3 linked regions of the Solanum lycopersicum genome follow. The main gene of each other region encodes a partner of the protein of the gene in region 2 in a complex. Links are inferred from orthologs where the notes say so. Each region holds a gene or a part of one and is shown on either strand. Other genes may lie near its edges.

Evidence for each region.
Region 1: 30S ribosomal protein S13 (region 2) and small ribosomal subunit protein cS23 share a complex: the UniProt entries of both Arabidopsis thaliana proteins name them as parts of the 30S ribosomal subunit. The link is inferred for Solanum lycopersicum from reciprocal best matches to the Arabidopsis thaliana genes EMB3137 and PSRP3/1.
Region 3: 30S ribosomal protein S13 (region 2) and small ribosomal subunit protein bTHXc share a complex: the UniProt entries of both Arabidopsis thaliana proteins name them as parts of the 30S ribosomal subunit. The link is inferred for Solanum lycopersicum from reciprocal best matches to the Arabidopsis thaliana genes EMB3137 and PSRP4.

Annotation. Positions count from the first base shown.
Region 1 is NC_090804.1:4,043,233-4,047,015, forward strand, and holds small ribosomal subunit protein cS23, read right to left. Parts: upstream 2,278-3,783; 5' UTR 2,191-2,277; coding exon 1,969-2,190; intron 942-1,968; coding exon 660-941; 3' UTR 543-659; downstream 1-542. Other genes in the region: homologous-pairing protein 2 homolog, read right to left, coding at 50-77. UniProt on the Arabidopsis thaliana protein: Component of the chloroplast ribosome (chloro-ribosome), a dedicated translation machinery responsible for the synthesis of chloroplast genome-encoded proteins, including proteins of the transcription and translation machinery and components of the photosynthetic apparatus.
Region 2 is NC_090804.1:939,301-943,104, reverse strand, and holds 30S ribosomal protein S13, read right to left. Parts: upstream 2,232-3,804; 5' UTR 2,153-2,231; coding exon 2,039-2,152; intron 1,652-2,038; coding exon 1,427-1,651; intron 813-1,426; coding exon 645-812; 3' UTR 535-644; downstream 1-534. UniProt on the Arabidopsis thaliana protein: Located at the top of the head of the 30S subunit, it contacts several helices of the 16S rRNA.
Region 3 is NC_090804.1:66,171,985-66,175,687, reverse strand, and holds small ribosomal subunit protein bTHXc, read right to left. Parts: upstream 2,331-3,703; 5' UTR 2,108-2,330; coding exon 1,930-2,107; intron 1,828-1,929; coding exon 1,763-1,827; intron 873-1,762; coding exon 750-872; 3' UTR 619-749; downstream 1-618. Other genes in the region: uncharacterized protein, read right to left, coding at 3,557-3,703.

The sequences.
Region 1 (3,783 bases), about 3.1 Mb from region 2:
ATTACAACTACGAAAATATTCAATTCTGTTATCCGGCGAGAGAAGTTACCTTCAGTGTTATCTGCTTTAGGAGCCATGGATTGGAGAATTCACAGAGCGCGGGAAAAAAAACTTCTGTCAAAATTTCTGTACTTCGAATTCACAGGAAACATTGGGCACGAAGGCCTTTATACGATGTCGTAGTTGAACATCGCGGGAACTTACCCTTAGTATAGCCACTAATTACGAAAAGAGGATTCTTCCATCGCAAGTTTCAAGTGAGAGTTGCCATAGAGCCCATGGGCCTTGTTAGGATGAACCAACCCAACTAGAGAGACTTTACGGGCTTTTAGTTCATAATAAAGTCCAAATATAACGGGCGGTGGAAGATGAACAATCGCTAAAAAATATATTGAATTAAAAGAAAACAAAATCGGCCATGGTTTCAATTTTGTGCGTATAAAACTTGTTGATACTATCTTCATTTCACCTATCTTATTAAATTATTCACAAATTTTGATTATCTTATCGTCCAGTCAGAACACATTAAACAATTTAAAAAATGAAACAAAAATGATTCCAATTGTATTCTCCATCAACTATAGTACAGTTAAAAATAAGATAAAACAAAAACAGAAAGTTGAAACAATTTGTCTACAAATAAATACCAAAAACAACAATTAGGTCAAATTTCCACCACTCTGCTGCCACAAATTGATAATATCAGTAGCTTGATTAAGCAAAATAATCATTTGCTTTTGTGATATCCATGGCTTACTCTCTAGTGTTGTTTTCAACTCTTCCCATGCATCTTTTCTAGGCCAAAAAAAATATGGACTTAATGGTACACTTCCATGGTCTGGTAAAACTTGATCAAGGCCAAGTCCAATATTTTTCTCCATCCATATGAATTTTAGCACTAGCCTTGGCTTCTCAATTACCTTTTTCTTCATATCAACTTTCTGAAAAAAATATATCCAAGAATTCACTATAAGATATCAAAACATAATATCCTATCCTTTTTTGGGCTTATTATTTATATAGTCGTACGTATCTGGAATGAATTATGTGCATTCAACTGAACTTCTTATTTTCATCTTTAATAATGTAGACGTTTCAATACGAGTTTGAGTATTTGACACGGGTGGAAGTCAGAGATTGGATTTTGTCATAGGCGTATCTAGCTAGGATGAGTTAAATGTGTTCAAGTGTTCAACTGAATCTGTTATTTTTGGGTCAATATGTACATACATTATGTTGTTTTGGTACGGGTGCAAGTATATGACACAAATGTTTGATCTAGAGGTTGAATTCATCATCACTAAAATTTTAGGGCTCGAGGGTACGAATTGATATATCTAGTTTTTGTCGAAACATAACTTATATTTATAGGTAATGCTATAATTTAACTCCATTTTTGTTCTGTTTTTAGCTAAATGATCAATATATTTCCCCAATTATGCCTTTTTTTTATTAATTAAAACATTCATAAATTTGCTAGTTATTACTCATTTTCATTAAGAAGTTGTTGGACTACCATTTCATATTTAGAAAAGTCGAACAACACAGTACGTGTTAAATAATCATAGTAAAAGTGAATTCAAAGACTTAAAAATTCTAGATTTGTCGTATATATCAAATGATTCTAAAATATTACTATATTATCCTTTGAATATAAATTTGATGCTTTGGAAAATGTATTATATATTGAATAGTAGTATTCAATATCAAGGGTTTTCATGTTTTTCAAATTGGACAAGTATTGTTAGACGACTATTTTTAATATAATGACCAAGTAAAGATGGATTGAGGGAGTATTTACATTCTTAAATTACGTATCAAGTCAAAATCAGACAAAGATTACTCAATTTTACTAGTGAGAAGTAACACTACCATTCATGAAATTAATTGAGTAGCGCAAAAACTAATCTAGACACTAAGTTATCGAAAAAAGTTACCTAATTGAAAATTAAAGAGCTGATTTTTTACCTCAATTTCTTGAACAACAGACTCTGAAGTCTCAACTTCAACTGATTCTGCTTCTGCAACTGCTGAAGCAAAAATCTTATGAATTCTTCTTGTTGATAAACCTTTGTTGTTAAAAGATAATGAAGAACATGATTTGAAGGATTTATAACCTGGATTTTGTGAAGGTAAAGAAGGGATACTCAAATTGCCTTTCAAGCTAGATTGAACAGACATTGATAACATTTTTTGTGTAGATAAAAAAAATATTTGTCTAGTGATGAAAAAAAGTGAAGTGGGAAAATTGTGGCCTTAAAAAGAGTGTGTATAGAGAATTTGAGATAATGATAGAATGGATAAGGTAATAGAAGAAAAAAAATGAAAGTTGTTTAAATTGGGCTAAGAGGCCTATGGGTGAGGACTTTGGTCATGTTATGGGATTTGGGCCCAAAAGAAATATGATCATTAGTTATCATAGCTTTACTAATTTTGTATATTTAGCAACGTTGAGTTGATTCGGGATGTCAAACGAGCGGATTGAACAATTTTTTGAGAGTTAAAGTTGTGTTGATAAACGAGTGGTATCGATTTGTTTGAAGATTATAAATTTGAGATAAGATGGGTTAGTATTTTGTCGTAGTCTAATATGTTCAACTTTTATCAAGTTTACAATTCTTAGTAGACAAAACTTATGAGTATCAGATTTTTATAGATTAATTTTGTCATCCCTAATCAAATTGATCAATATTATCTGATTATTCAAAAAAAAGTAGAATGTATCTCATGGGTGAAGATTGTTCGTGCTTCTCAAATGTTACGTACTTTTTTAGGTCATTAGTCAGCAACTCTCTCGACAATGACTTCACATTACTTTTTTAACACGTCTATCATTATTATTTTTAGAAAATCATTTTTTGAGATAGATGTTGCGCCTTGAACATGTGGATGAGTGTGATATATGTATGCCTCTTTGACTATTCGTGAAATTAAATCTCTAATATTAACAAAAGAGGGGCATATTAAGAATGTCCTAGAGCTACATTCTTTCTTATTGGTATTAATAAAAAGCCATCTTTTTAATAAGATCTGAAAAAAAATTGAAAATGAAGTTCATATATCATAAATATTTTTCTTTCAATGTCATTTTCTACATAATTAGTAAAAGAGACGACTTTTGATATATATGTCCATGCGTACTACTCATTCAAGTTTATGAAGAAAAAACATTACTTGAGCTGAATTTTATGATATTGACAAAATCATATAATAAAAAAATAATAATATTAATATTAGTCATATTAATTATGAAGTGATCAAAATGAGTTGCAAATTTGAAGAAACCACTAATTCAATTCATACTTATAATTTGCCCTTTACATACACAAAAAAGTATATTTTTATGATCAATGTGACGCTTGGTTTTATTTTTCCTAAGAGCTAATATTGGGCTAGAGGTGTCGTATCCCGGAAGAACGGAGATTGATGATGATATCGTACATTGCATAATTGAAATGGACTGGATAAAATGAAGGTTCGTACTAGGGTACTATGTGATAAGGATGTGTTGTCAAGTCGTAAATGTAAGTTCTACAGAATGATGATAAGAACAACGTCAAATGAATGAGTTGAATTGAATTTAAATGAGTCAAAATGAGTTGAGTTAATAAATAGACTGATCAGAAGTTATTTAAGTTTGAGATAGTGCATGTCATAACCCAATCCACCAAATTCTTATTAAAAACATTTTTCTAACTACATTTTTTTATACATAAAAATTTTAAAAATTATTTTTCCTCTCTAATAAAGACTATTTTCAAGCAACTAAACATTAGAAAATAA
Region 2 (3,804 bases):
GTAACAAGTAAGTAGTGAAATACGTGTAAATTGATCTGAACATCATCACTATTGAAAAACAGAAGTCATGGTCTTCAAGAAACCTGAGAAAAGTGAACCTTCTTGAGTACTAAAGGGGTGGGACTTAACTTTCATGCTCATGCATGTGACAAAAAGGTGCCACAAACTCTATGCTTTTAGTTAATTCTCAAAATGACCTAACGAGTCATTACATTAACAATGCTATGACTCAAATTGTAAAACTTTGGTATCACATTAATGCAAATACTTGGCCCAAACACATTACTGAACTTGAAGCTTAAACCAAGGCTCATAGATAGGGACTGCACTTCATAGGTCGTTACATCAACAATTATTATGACACCTAACGTAACTTAACAAACCTTTCTCCTGTCAACCAAATCATCCAATCAGAATAACGTAAATTCGCAATTACTCCACATGAAACACATTTAACAAGATTTAAGGAAGAGATTATGCCTAAGCATCAACATTCTTCTTGAAAAGCTCTTATCTTGAAATGTAGAAAAATGATTTCAATGGAAAAAACTGTTTATAACAAACAAATGCACAGTTTGCCATAGGAATATAGAGTGTAACTTTTACAAGTTAGTTACCAAAAGAAATGAAAAATCGATCTTGATTTAACGAGGTGCCTTCTTCTTCCCTGCAATTGCTACTTTCTTGCCCTTCAAAGTACGGCAATTGTTCTTTGTTCGTTGTCCTCTGCAAGGCAATCCTTGGATGTGCCTTACTCCTCTATAGCACTGAATCTCCTTCAACCTCCTAATGGCAAGAGCATTGAATCTCCTCTGATGCCAACACCACAAGTATGTAATCAATTTTCCCGTTTCAAATAGGAAGCCGAAGCATCAATCAAACAAACAACCTTATACACAAGAATCTCAATCAACATTGCCAATTGCTAAACAAGCTATCGATTTCTTCTGAAATACATTTCCATAAGAACTGTTTAATTTGGGATAAGGCTGTGATGCATATAGAAGCCATGATCCTACATACCCACCTAACAATAACTCCCCTTGTTTCGATTTGTTTGTCCGGATTTGACTTGACACAAAGTTTAAGAAAGTAAAGAAGATTTTTCGATCTTCTGGTTTTAATCTCAAGATATGTAGAATGCAGTTTCAGCTCAAATATGGTTCTTTCCATGTAAAAGTTGGACCAAAGATTGGTTTAAGATATTGTTTTTTTGGTTCAATTCCTATCTTGAGACAAAATGAATTAAATTTCTTAGAACCCCAAATGGCATTAAGTTAAACTATAGAGCTAAAATAAACAGCAACCACAGCAAAGTTACATGAACTAGATATCGAAATCAAATTACCTAAGCATATAAGTTTCAATAAGGATATGCACATTGGAACGAAAACAAATGAGTACAAATTAGAGCAATGAAACTCACAAGGTCTCCTTCAATCATGTACTTAGAGACTTCTTCACGAAGAGTGATAAGTTCCTCTTCCGACATGTCTTTCATCACTTTGTTCTCCATTTGAAGGTCTACCAGAATCTGGCGTGCAGTGGTGCGGCCAATTCCATGAATGTATTGCAAAGAGAACTCAACTCTTTTGTTGTTTGGAACTTCCACTCCTCCCACACGCACACACTTTATAACCAAACCTGCAGTCTACACAAAACTCATTTCAGTTCAAACTCAAAATCATGGAAAATTTAGCAAAACCCAATTTAATTCCAACTCAAAAAAGTCCAAAAATATGAAAAATAAGCAAACCTCAATTCAATCCCACCTCAAAAAAACGGAAACTTTAGCAAAAAAAACTCATGTTGGGTTACTGAGAAAATTTCGAAAAATCCAAAAACTCATTCCAATTCCTACTCAGGTAAAAAAAAAAGTAATCTTTAGCAAAACCCATGTTTGGTTACTGAGAAAATTGCGAGAAAAAAAAAGACAAACCCCATTCCAATTCCTACACGAAAAAGGTCAAAAAATGTAAACTTCAGCAAACTCCATGTTTGATTACTGCAAATTTCAAGAGAAGGGAGTGAAGTGTACCTTTGGAAAAGATGTGGGAGTAGAAAAAGAGAGGGAACTGTGCTTGGAGATGGAAGATGTGTTGCAGATAAGGGAAAGAGAAGGAAGTACAGGAGTTGCTAGTGTTTGCGCCATTGTTGAAAATCTTGATTGATGAAGAAATTGAAGAAGGAAGAAGATAGAGCCTTTTGCTGGTCTATTTTTCTTATCCTATTGGGGAAAATTGGATAGGGAATGGAGTTCTTCTTTTCGACCTGGTTTGCTAATATGGAGCCCCGGTTGTTCTTTTTTTTTTTTTTTTAAATTTTATTTTATTAATATGGTATTCGGGCTAGTTTTCATGCACTCGACTAAATTCACCGATGTCTATCATACTGTCACCTCCCAATAAGGATGTGGAAAAATCGAATCGATCAATAAACCTATTAAAAAAATGTTATTGGGTTATTGAATTATTGAGTTAATGGATTTTTAACGGATCTATAAAGGGTTTTTGATTAGGTATCAATTTTTAGTATTTGGTTATTGGATGAATCGATAACTCATTAAGACGATAGTAATTTATTACTATGCACTTTATAAATATTATTAATAATTTAACATAACTAGACATTATATCAGTACTCTACACATTTTACACGTCACATTACTTCTATTTTACATCTGAAATTTCATATTATGTTTTGGTTGTAACATGTAATTGTAGCCTTCGTATTACATCTAATTGAAATGAAGAAAATATTAGCTTTACAAAGAAATCTCTACATTTCATTTCTGATATCGCTCTTTTTATCTAAGGCCTAACCTAAATTTGGGGCGATAGAAATGCGAGTTGAAAATAAATTTACATGATCACTTACCAATTGAATAAAAAGAAAATTGATCTTTTAAAATTTTGTAGGCATAAAAATAAAGATCTCTCATGGGCAACAATAAAAAATTCTTATAAACAACATAAGATTAGAAGTGGTTATAAAATAATAAAGCAAGAACAAGAAGAATATTTTAGAGAAAATTAGAGAGAACCTATTTTTAAAGTAAAGAATTTTATAAATTTTAATACTCCATTAATTTAGTAATTTTAATATTATAAGATTATAACTAATAAATTTCATGACTTACTAATCCTATAAATTACATCTTAATGGGTACTTCAAACGATTCTTATGAGTTGTGAGTAATTTACTTTATAAATTCCTAAAAATAAAACACCTTCCAATTGCAAAATCCTACGAATTTGCTAGCAATAACTAATAACTGTTTATGCGGCATTATAAATAGCAACTTAATTGCCACCCATTGAAAAAATTAAAATTTATCCATATTAGATGTTTATCGCAAATAAATAAATGCATAATATGTATATGTATTGAAACATACACAATAATTTTAATTTATGATTAATTAACATGTATTTCTACTTTATTAAATCATTAAATTTAATTTATTTTTAAATATAAATTGTGGCGTAATGATGAAATTGTGTCACCCTTAATCAGATGTTTCACGTTTAAAATCTTAGGTATGAGGAAAGTTTTGCTGGGAGTGCCACTCTTGAATGAGTCCACAATGCGCCGCGATCAGAATTTGTCGGGGCTCTAATTAATTGCAAGTTCAAGCCCTAGGTATCAAGAAAATTTTGTTAGGAACGTCACTCTTGAATAAGTCCGCAGTGCGTGATCCGAATTTAGTTTGAGCTCTAACTGCAGGTTCGAGCCCTAGTTAAGAAGAATACTTTGTTAGGAGCGTCACTCTTGAATGAGGCCGCAGTGCGTGATCTGAATTTA
Region 3 (3,703 bases), about 65 Mb from region 2:
TTAACCTGTACATCAAAATCAGCATTTTCTTCAACCAATATGTATGTGAATTCTATTTATCCAACTTGTGTCCTGCTGTAAAGCTGGTTTATGATTGTATAGTGGACGCAGACAAACTTGGTGACCCAAACAAAAGAAGTTTTTTTGTGACTGGATTTGCTCACTCACATCTTGACTAATTCTTCGAGGTAAAGGTTACCTCCAACCAGCACAGATATGGAGTAATTCTATCCACGAAGGTCTAAATAAGAACCACCTAGGGGTCATTTGGTAGGATGTATTAGCTATGACATTTTTTGATCCTTTCTTTGTTCGAGGCCAAAGTGCCCTTGATAATATATCAAACCAAATAGTGGGTAGGAAATAGCTCCAACATAACTAATCCCAGCATTAGTAATACACTATATATTACTATTCTTATACACTCTACAAAAAGACCTCCTAATGTGTTTGTCTCCGCTAGTATATGAACCTAAAACCTCGTGGTTTTCAACCCATAAGGAATGTGGGGTTCTCTAAGCTTTTCACTTTTCTCAATAGCTAAAGTAGTGACTATTACCACTTGTCTACTGAAGGTTGCTAGAACCAAAATGCATAATTTAACAGGACACAAGAGCATTTAAACGAAGACCCTTCAAGCAAACTAGAAATCTCAGTCCAAATGATTAACTTAATCGATATTTCAATGAAATAAACAAAGTAGTAGAAGATTAGAGCTACATAAAAATGAAATTGCTCCTCCGAGAAAACTATGGGTCATGTATTTCAATTTTAACGACTTGGCCATCATCAAATGGATCTCTCTTTGGTGCTGCTGGTGGTGCTGCAACCCTAGGTGGTCCTCTTCCCTTCTTCTTGTTCCTTGGCCTTGCCTAAACCAATTCATACCATCGGAATCAGTTCAAAATAACAACAAAAAATGTCGAAACAACTGTTGTTTTTTCACTATTTCTGTCAAATCTAACGAACATAAATTGTTAAACGTATGATGATAACACTCTAAACTTCAAAGTACTAAAAATTGGTTAGAGCATATTTAACAGACTATTTTGAATCTATCATCAACATTGGTGGTTAACGAAGAGGGTCGAGAATCATGAGGTTTCAGGTTCAAATTCTATCAGAGACAAAATAACACTAGGTAATTTATCCCATCTATTGATAAAATTAGTCGAGATGCATCTAGGTTGCAATCAAAAATAAACTTCAAAACTTTTTAGGGGTCAATTCGTCTAAATGTATGAACAATTGAATCTCAGTATAAAATTCTATAATATTAAAAGCATTAAACTCCTGCATTAATTATGCAAAACCTTATGCACCAATAATCTTATTCCAAGTGAATCTATAAATCATTTTATATGGAATTAACATTCATTTAATCAAATATGAGTTAAAAAATTATTCATATTAAGTAATTTGTGTTGATATCTTATTTATCAATTTCAACAAAACACATACTTCTCTTTTCTAAAATTTAAAGGCATAAATACATTAAATATCTCATGGAATTATTTATTCATCTTCGATACACTCGTTATTTTAAGCCAATACCTTTAACTCAAATATGCAATAAATTTAATCTCAAATTCTATTTCGAGATTATTATTCTTATTCCACGTATCAAACTAGAATGTTAGTGTAGGATTCTCCTAATATAGAGGAGGTAAGTGTTTGTTTATAAAATATACAGGGGTGTATCTGAAACTAAATCATATTAAGGAGGTCTTATCCTGCAATAAACCAAAATATACAAACTCACATTGCCAAAGGAGTGATTGAACCGCTTGCCTTTCGCCGTCTTCTTATCACCTCTACCGCAGTAAACTGAAAATGAAATCAAATCAAAATTTCAATTTCTCGAACTGAAACTTCAATCATCACAAAATTTTCACAAACAATAAATTCGAAAAGGTATGTGATTCGTACCCAATGGGAGATTTGAATCAGTGAGAGACGAAAACGAAATTGATGGTGAAGGAGATGCCGCCGTAATTGAAACGCTGCCGGCGACGGAGTGAGAACGAGAGAATGATAAATTAGGAGAAAGAGAAGCCATGGATTGAACAGTACTCATAGGAACTGAACCAACTAACAACGACGCCATTGCAGCAGCTCAACTGATAGAATTGAGATTTTATTTGTGGTGGTTCTATAGCTTCTTATTCTGTTTCTAGATAATGTGCCCTTTGTCTTTTTTTTATTCAAATACCCCTGAATTAAGGTAAAATTCACTTATTTTTCCTTGTTTTTTTTTTTTAAAAAAAAAAACGTTAAGAGTTACTTGGATGGTAAATACCATTCATTTTAAACTTTAAAATTGTGAATTCAAGTTATCAGAAGATCAATTATTTTTTATGTAAAAGTATATCAAGCAATAAACTGAGACCTGAAAAGGATTGTTTGGAACGAGAAATAAGGAATAATAGTGTTATCTCAAACTCTATCTGTTCCTATTTAGTTGTCCATTTTAGAAATGACAAACATATTAATATAGCAATAATTAGAATAGTGAAGTTACAATTTTGCCCTTATTAATTATGATTTCGAAAAAGATGAATTAAAACTTAAAAATTTTCAGGAAGCTTAAATAAGAATATAATAAGAAAAAAAATTATCTTTTTTTATGTGTGAAAATAGACAAATAAATTGCAAAATGAGACGGAGGGAGTATAAATATAGTTAGATTTCATCACATACATAAAGAAATTTTAACATATATAATAATTAAGAGAAGTAATGAGATAATAGTACACCTCTATGACAGACTACTTGTCTACATTAACAAAGATATTTATTCAAAATTACTTGTCAAATTAAAAAATTAATTCTATTTTTTTCCATTTTGCACCTTAAATCGACTCTTTTTGATTAAAAATATAAATATTGTAAAGTTCCTCTTTTGTTATTAACAGATAAAGACACAAAAAATAGAATTTATGAAAAATAATTATAACAGTAAATTAGTAAAAAAATAAATATTTTTAATATTTCTTAAAAGACAAGAAAAAAGAAAAAAATGTACGTTGATATACAATGTAGGAAGTAACACAATGATTAATCATACAAGACATTCCCAATTGATTATAATTTTTTTTTTACCAAACTCACTCAAAAATACAAAAATATATTAATAACAAGTCAGTCAAAAGATGAAATACCCTACTCTACAAAAATTTGAGAACTCAATTCACTTATTATCGACCACAAAATTGACCTCGAACTATGACAGTACAGATTCATATAGTCGACCTCAACTTGTTTGGTACTGAACCGTAGATGTTGTTGTTGGTGGTGGTGAACAGCTCCCATGCAAATCACTCTACTCAATCTAGACACAGAAAATCAAGAACAAATAATATAGCCATTTCCCTACAGAAAAAAAACACAATAGATCGATCATTCACGTTAGTATTTATTCAAATATGTGATTTAAATCGACGTCTTGAGGAACTTCTTCTCCACTCTGTAGTTAAAATTACCAGAAGCATAAGGGAATCTCACCATTTTTCTCCTTAGTTTGATGCATTTCTTGAACAATTTTTCTCTGTTACGACTAAACTTCTTCACCCTTCTTGTTATTGATAGAAGAAGTACTACTTGGAAGGAAACAAGTTTCCTCGCCACCCGTGTTCCACAAGAAATTGGCATATGTACATCTATAATAAGGGTTCCTAGGCTCAGCTGCCACTGCCTGTTGGTA